Linked DNA regions of Macaca mulatta. The protein of the gene in region 2 purifies or fractionates together with the protein of the main gene of each other region. This does not show direct contact. Links are inferred from orthologs where the notes say so. Each region holds a gene or a part of one and is shown on either strand. Other genes may lie near its edges. The genes, in order: MPHOSPH6 and ZFC3H1.

Region 1 (4,484 bases), on a different chromosome or scaffold from region 2:
ACCTTGTCTAAAGTAACCCTAAACGTTACTCTAGGGGTCACAACACTGTTTCCTCTATTTCACGGCAGTCACCACTTACTTATGTCCAGAATATCAGCTTCAGGAAAGATGAGGATAGGTGTTTTTACACGCTATTATACCCCGGCATCTCACACACAGTCACAAGTGAATAAGATTCCGTAGCCACTTAGTACATTACAATGATTTTATTTACTCCTGGGAAAACCTCAAGGGCTTTTAACATCCAAATCGGTGTTTGAATTTCAGCTCTAACATGGATTAGCTGTGTGAATTCCACCAAGTCCCTTACCCGCTCTGTGTCTCAGAATTCCTAACAACACGATGACAATACCTTCTTTCCGGTTCTTAGGGAGATTAAGCGAACTAATTACCCATAAGGTGACCAGGTCAAGAATCTGACATAAAATCTATGCTATCAGCTGAAATGCTATTAGCTTGAGGGTGTTCCAAAGCGTCGGACCTGGGAATGATTTTTGAAAACGTGTTTAGTTGGTACCCAGAGCATTAAACACCAGGGTATGAATGCCACTCTATTTTCAGTGGTTTTTAAAATTCTTTTTTGTTTTGTTTTTGAAACAAAGGCTTGCTCTATAGCCCAAGGTGGTGTCCAGTGGTGGGATCTCAGCTCACTGCAGCCTCGACCTCCCGGGTTCCAGTGATTCTCCAGCCTCAGCCTCCCAAGTAATGGAGACCACAGGTCCGTGCCACCACACCCACCTATTTTTTTTTTTTTTTGGTAGAGATAGGGTCTCACTATGTTGCCCAGGCTGGTCTTTTCAATTCTTTAGATCAAAACCAAGCCTTCTTCTCATTCAGGTGTCTTTGGCACCCATCCCTGCCTCCATCCCTTGCAGTTTCTTCAGATTCTTCTGTTTAGCAGGGATCACTCGGCCAGACACGCACCGGCAGCAGCCCGGGGATGAAGCCAGCCCGCCTGGGGTGGCCCCCGCCACGCTCCCCGGGACTCAGGGCTGCTGTAAGGAAAGCAGCAACTCGTAGGGTCCTGGTGAAGAGCAAACGACCTGGCCCCTGCACAGGGACCCAGAACACAGGAAGCCCGCCATCCACGTTAGGAAAACAATACACGTGGGTAACCAGACCCAGGCGGGTGGCACGCGTGACGCAAACCTGTGAGGCTGGCGAGGACTACTGAGTCTGAAGGGAGTCTCTGAGGAAGGGAGTCCCTGAGCGAGGATGGGTCCCCGAGGGGGCCAGGCCGACGTCCCGGGAAGGCGGCCCCCGGCTCGGGGAAGCCAGGCTCTGGGTCCTCCTCTGACTTTGGCCTTTTTGGGATCTGCCGCGCTCATCCCCGCGCCACCGCGCCGCGCGCTTACCCCAGCCTCTCAGTCACCAGAGCGCCCGCTGAGTGGCCGCGCCGGCGCGCGACACGCAGCGGCGGGGCCGCGGGGCGGAGCGGGGCGGTGCGCTTTACGAGAGCGACGCAGCTGCGCACGCGGCTCCGCGCATGTGCAGTGAGGCTCGCGGCCGGAGTGCGGCGCTGGGCGGAAGCCACCATGGCGGCCGAGCGGAAGACAAAGTTGTCCAAGAATCTGCTGCGCATGAAGGTGCGGGGACACTGAGAGAGCCATGCCGGGCGATAGGGGCACCCGATCGTTCCGACCTGGCCAGGGCCGAGGCGGCGGGCGAACGAGGGACACCAGAGGGGCCTCAGAGGGCTTCCAGCTCTCGTGCTCATTCATTCACTTAGCGCCTGCTCTGCACTGTTTACTGGGAACCGGGTTACGAATTAGGCCGACTCTCAGGAGGCCCACGGGTGGATGGGAGCTCGCATACACAGGAGCAAGCAGTCAGGGTACAGCTTACCAAGTGCAGTGAGGGTAGAAGCGCCGGAGCCCTGGGAACTCACCCAGCTTCTCGCGGGGTAGTGGTCCCTTTAGGTTCCTGGGAGGGTGGGAGGCACAGCGTCCTAAACTAGGAGAAACCTGAGTTCAGAAGTCCACGAGGCAAGAAAGAAAAAGAAAACCATGGAGATTTCCAAGAATGAGAGGTAATTCAGTATGTCTGGAAGGCAAGTACTAAGAAATGGGGTTGCAGAGTAGGCAGTGGTCACAACGTGCAGGAAATTTGAGGCCAGATTAAGGATATTTTCCTTTATTTTGTGAGCAATGGAAAGCTATTGACACGGGGAACAGTATAAAAAAATAGCAACTATTTATAGTACTAGACAATGTTTTAAGGGGTTTGCGTATATTAACCTGTGCAATTCACATAATGACACTTTGAGGTGACTACAGGCAATAACTCTCTTTTTACAGTTAAGGCAACTGAAACAGAAATAAGTAACTTACTCAAAGTCGCACAGCTAATAAGTAGTGTAGACAGGACGGGAACTCAGGCAGTCTTGCTCCAGAACCCTGGCTCTGTGTTACTTACTCTGTGATGCCTGTCACTGAGCACTACTTATAGAGGGTAGCAAACTGTTACATGTCATGTTTAAAGAGGTCGAATTTCCAAAAGAAGGAAGGAAGCGTTCATAATGTTTTGAAAGATTGGAGAGAGAGGCCATTCGCAGTGGTTCATGCCTGTAATCTCAGCACTTTGAGAGGCTGAGGTAGACAAATCGCTTAAGCCCAGGTGTTTTAAGACCAGCCTGGGCAACATGGTGAAACCTCATCTCTACAAAAGATACAAAATATTCGTTGGGCCTTGTGGCACGCACCTGTAGTCCCAGCTATTTGGGAGGCTGAAGTGGGAGGATCACTTGAGCCTGGGAGATCGAGGCTGCAGAGAGCTGAGATGGTGCCACTGCACTCCAGCCTGGGTGACAGAGGGAGACCCTGTCTCAAAAAAAAAAGAGAGTAAACATTACATGGGCAAGATTTGAATGGAGTTGAGCTAGGATGGAATTAGGAATGAATGGGTGAATGAGGATGCAGGACAAATTACATCTAACTTAGAGTTTGTCAAGCACTTTCATGCATATTAGGAAAATTTGAATCTTTACTGAACAGAGTTTGCTTTTGATTTTATGATTTGTAATAACATTAATTTCAGAGAAGTGGAGTGAACTGGCCAAGCAGATATTGAAAAGATTTTAGCAGTTGTTTTAGCTCTTGGAATAAGCCAGATGATGTACTGGGTGACTCAGGCTCAAACTAAATATCTGAGTTGCAACTAAGAAGGAAGAAATTAACTTAAAACAAGTGTCCACTCCCACCAAATGGGGAGACGCAACTGGACATTGGAAGCAAAGGAGAAGGAAAAAGATCACCCAGATTCTGTATTTGGTTTAGCAGTTTTGGTCATTGATGAGAAAAAACTTACTGGCAAGATAGCAGGAGACACTATCTATACTGATAGAAAAGAGTATACTGTGAGAAGGCATGGAACAGCTGCACTTAGGGTGCCTTAACCAGAGCTAAGTCCTATATAACATGGGTCCCCAACCACTAGGCCACGGAGCAGCACCAGTCCATGACCTGTTAGGAACGGGCTGCTCAACAGGAGGCGAGCAGCAGGCAGCAAGCGAGTGAAGCTTCATCTATATTTACAGCTGCTCCCCATAGCTTGCATTACCACCTGAGCTCCGCCTCCTGCCAGATCAGTGGCAGAATCCTAGATTCTCCTAGGATCAAAAACCCTACCGTGAACTGCACCTATGAAGGATCTACCTTGAGCTCTACTTATGAGAATCTAATACCTGATGATCTGTCGTTGTCTCCCATCACACACAGATGAGACTGTCTAGTTTCAGGAAAACAAGCTCAGGGCTTCCACTGATTCTACATTATGGTGAGTTGTATAATTATTTCGTTACATATTATAATAATAGAAACAAAGTGCGCAATAAATGTAATGCACTTGAATCATCCCTAAACCATCTACCCCTCCCCTCTCCACCACCCATGGAAAAATTGTCTTCCAGGAAACCCATCCCTGGGGACCACTTTTTAGGGCAAGTATGAGAGGGTTGAGGATTTAATCCTGACTCACTTGAAGGCCTTTGACTTGGTCAGCCATTGCAGGATGATCCCGATGGGAAGCAGAAAAAGAAAGATGTGGATGGAAGGTCTTCCAGTATGGAATGGTTGTAGAAAGGGTGCTTATTTGTGATTTTAGTACTGTTAGACTTTTAGAACAGGGCTTGGCAAGCTTTCTGTAAAAGACCATATAATAAATATTTTGGGCTTATGAGCCAGACAGTCTCTGTTACAACTACTCAGCTCTGCCAGTGTTGTTTGGGACAGGATGACCATGGCTGTATCAACAACAACGGACATCTAGCCTGAGGACCATATTGTGCTGTTGCCTGCTGTGAGTCCCCACTGGTTTTGGAGTGTGTTCTGAAATGCCCTAGAGTAGGAGAATCGAACTTCTACCTAAGTCTGGAGGTGCTTGATTCATATTCACAGGGAGTTCTATCCTTTCTGTGTGTACAGAACATATGTATATGGCTATTTTGTATACCAAAGGAATAGGTACATGACTAAATAGGAGAAATA
Region 2 (3,361 bases):
ATATTTTACTAAGCACCTAACAACTGTTTTCAAAAAATCAGAGCACGAAAAGCTTTCAAAGTTGTATAAAGTTAAATGCATACAGTGAGTAGATAGATATCTATTCCTCCAGGATTACTATCTTCCACCCACATTTTTTTGGTTTTAGGGAAAAACCAGTAAGCCTCCAGCTTTCTTTTTGATTAAATGAAAGACACTAGACAAATGGATTCCATTCTTGACCCCATCTAACAGCACTTACTAGCCAAATCGCCCTGTCTGGTAAAATATGGTTCTATTTTTAGTGAGCATTATACAAATGTAAACATGTACAAGTTTGCCTGGTATTTCATGGGGTTGCTGCTCTGCCTCTAACAGTTCAAGTGCAAGTTGTTAAGACCAGACTTGTGGTGGTGTGTGTGTGTCATTAACATTTTTCTTGCCAAGGTTAAAACAACCAAATATAAACTGAAAACAAAATAAAAAGCAAGGTCTCCTTTGCATTCAATCACACTGATATTCAACAGAAGATGGCATGTCACTAGGCAAATCATTCAAACTACAGTTGGGAGGCACCTTCTAAACACTGTGAATTTGAGAACAAGGAATTTAATGGTAGTGCAAACCTCTCTGTTCACTGTCCTCACAACAGTATCCATCTTCTCATGAATTAAGAAATCATTAAATTTTTTTTTTAATGAGAAAGCAGTTTCAAGATAAAAAAGTATAAGTTATGGTAAATATCTTTATCTCCGACTTCGACCCTTTCCCACCAGTGTGAAAAGTGAATAAAGACAGCAAGAGTTTTTAGAAAGTTAACTTATATTAAAAAAGTATATAAACAATTTTAATACTACAAAGTAGTATTTCAATACAAAGCAGTTCAAATATTAACTGTTCTTTAAACTGTTAAACTTTATTATAAATTAAAATTTCTTTACAAAAAAATTGCACATAATATTTGACCACTCTTAGGTTCTGATGCACTGGCATTTGCAATAGTTTCTTTAATCTTCAAGTTAAACAGTCTCGGCAAGGAGTCCAGAACGTAGAAAGGGCAATAAACAACCCTGATAGAGCATTCAAGTGCAACTAGCAGACTTGTGGCCATGGCAGTTACACTTTCCTTAAGATGGACTGCTATAGTTTTAAATCCTGAAATGAAGAATCTCAAAAAAATTTAAAAAGGAAAAACTAAAAGGGACTGCCTGCTTTTTTACTGTAAACACAGCCCTGGATATTAAATCCCAAACAGGAATCTCTCAGGCATCAGAGAGTGTCAAGTGAATCAGGAATAACACAAAATAAAGGAATGGGGGAGAAAATAAAAAACAAAAACAAAGCAAAATTAAAATAAATGTCAGTCACTTTGAGGAACTATACTTACGTATATGATGTTATGAGAATCTGGCAGGGCCTAGAAGCAGGCCAAACAGGAAGTTCATTTATCCAACCGAAGAGGATCATGTTCATTGCTTCCGGTTTTGAGGACAGGATATTGTAGGGAACTTGATATGATCAATAATGCTTGTCTGCCTTACATAGACCTTAGCCAGGGATCAGCCTAATCTTGAAGAATCATTCAAATAATTTTGGCAATTATTATAAGGACTTAGAACTGACTGCACCCAGTGTTCAGTGATTCTTGCTTTCTGTTTTGTTACTGTTTAAATTTAAGAGCTCATTTAGGCTGACTCCAATCTCTTGGCACTTGGAAACTAGTTTTCTCAGGTTATCAGTTTTACCTCCTTCTGATGCTTCAAACAAGAGTTGCTGTAAAAGACAGGGAAGCATAGAAGTAAGACTTAGCTAGAGTTTGAGCATTACCACATCAATGGATATGGCACATGCAGAAAATTTACAGGAAAACATCAAGATAAAATAAAAGATAAAAAGCATTACATCTTTCCACAGTGATGCACAAAGAGGTAACTTCTGTAAGGCTCTCTGATATAAACGGTGGACCTGTAAGATAGATATACACATAATTCCATCAGAAAACATAATGAAAAACACCTTCATAATTCTATCTGTTTAAAGAATGGTAATTCACAGTAACATCTGAGACAAAATGGTTATGCTGAGTTTTGGAGTTTCCAAATATTTGGTGCTCTTAAAATGTTAACTACTTTTGTTTCCCCACCTGGTTCCTAGTGTGCATGAAATGTTAACTTCTGTGCTTTAATTCTTTTAAATTGAGAAGTCAACAAAAGGTACAGAAAAACTTTTTAAAAGTGACCCATCTGATATTCAACCATGGCTTACCTCTCTTTGTCCCTTTAGAACAATCTCAGCAGCAATGGCTCTAAGGAAAAAAAAAAAAAAAAAGGAATACAGAAAAAGGAAAAGAAAAATTTATATATCTTTGAACAAAATGAAACACCACCACTGGCAGAATACTGACTGTGGGAATCTGAGTACAAAACTTCCTGAAAGTTAACAGGCTAAACTTCCAAGGAGGAAAACCTATAGTGAAAAGAAAAATTCAACAATTTTTATCAACTTTACAAGAAAAAAGCAGACCAGTGTTTTGAACATAAATAACGTTCACGGGAGGAAAAAAAAACAAAAACAAAAACAAAACACCTCATAATTACTAGTCAAAAATACCTAGCACTAACACCTTTAAAAGAAAGAAGAAATCAGACTATAACAGGGTAGACACACCCCATTTCAAAAGAGGCGGTCTTAAAATGACTGTAGCAGATTTGTTTGATAACAGTACTGTTACTTAAATGTTCTCCTTCAAAGAAAATTAAAAGTCTACGCTTTTTGCTTTTAGAGGCAATTCTTAATGAGTACTCACTCTCATTAAACCTCAGTAAATGCTAAAAACAAATCTAAATTAAGAATAGCAATCTGTCCATGAAAAAAAGAAAAAAAAATACATATATATATAGATGTCATTTCAGATTTTACCTGTCTGGAGCAAACCTTATAAATAAAAGCAATAGCTATAAAAACATGTACATGATTGTTGCATTACATTTTCCAGGTGGCCAGGCATGTTGGGATATTATATGTAAACATCTTGGCTTGAAGTTTCAGAATCTGAACATTGCTTTCTTCCCATTCATGCTGAAGTAACCTGTAAAGTATATTCAGGAAAATGAACAAAGCATTGCAGTGTAGGGAACCCCAAATGTGCTCTATGAGCACAATGATTAAGTATAAATCTTGATTAGTTAAATTCCATAAAGGCTACCCAGCAAATATTTCAGAATGTCTCTTACAAAAATTACCCTGGGACAGGAATGTGCAAACTATGAAGAGGTCAAGTCAAGATCTATGCTCATCTTACCAAACTACACTAAGGTGCATGTATTTCTATAGGACATAAAAGCATTCCCTCCAAATAAGAGTCCCTATTTCCCATCCCATT

Evidence for each region.
Region 1: the proteins of ZFC3H1 (region 2) and MPHOSPH6 purify together in Homo sapiens (affinity purification with mass spectrometry; 3 studies listed by BioGRID and IntAct, with this or other methods). This does not show direct contact. The link is inferred for Macaca mulatta from reciprocal best matches to the Homo sapiens genes ZFC3H1 and MPHOSPH6.

The regions. Positions count from the first base shown.
Region 1 is NC_133425.1:77,532,864-77,537,347, reverse strand, and holds the start of MPHOSPH6 (M-phase phosphoprotein 6), read left to right. Parts: upstream 1-1,525; 5' UTR 1,526-1,535; coding exon 1,536-1,586; intron 1,587-4,484. UniProt on the Homo sapiens protein: RNA-binding protein that associates with the RNA exosome complex. Involved in the 3'-processing of the 7S pre-RNA to the mature 5.8S rRNA and play a role in recruiting the RNA exosome complex to pre-rRNA; this function may include C1D.
Region 2 is NC_133416.1:78,740,118-78,743,478, forward strand, and holds the end of ZFC3H1 (zinc finger C3H1 domain-containing protein), read right to left. Parts: intron 3,068-3,361; coding exon 2,966-3,067; intron 2,285-2,965; coding exon 2,245-2,284; intron 1,945-2,244; coding exon 1,882-1,944; intron 1,753-1,881; coding exon 1,615-1,752; 3' UTR 784-1,614; downstream 1-783. UniProt on the Homo sapiens protein: Subunit of the trimeric poly(A) tail exosome targeting (PAXT) complex, a complex that directs a subset of long and polyadenylated poly(A) RNAs for exosomal degradation. The RNA exosome is fundamental for the degradation of RNA in eukaryotic nuclei.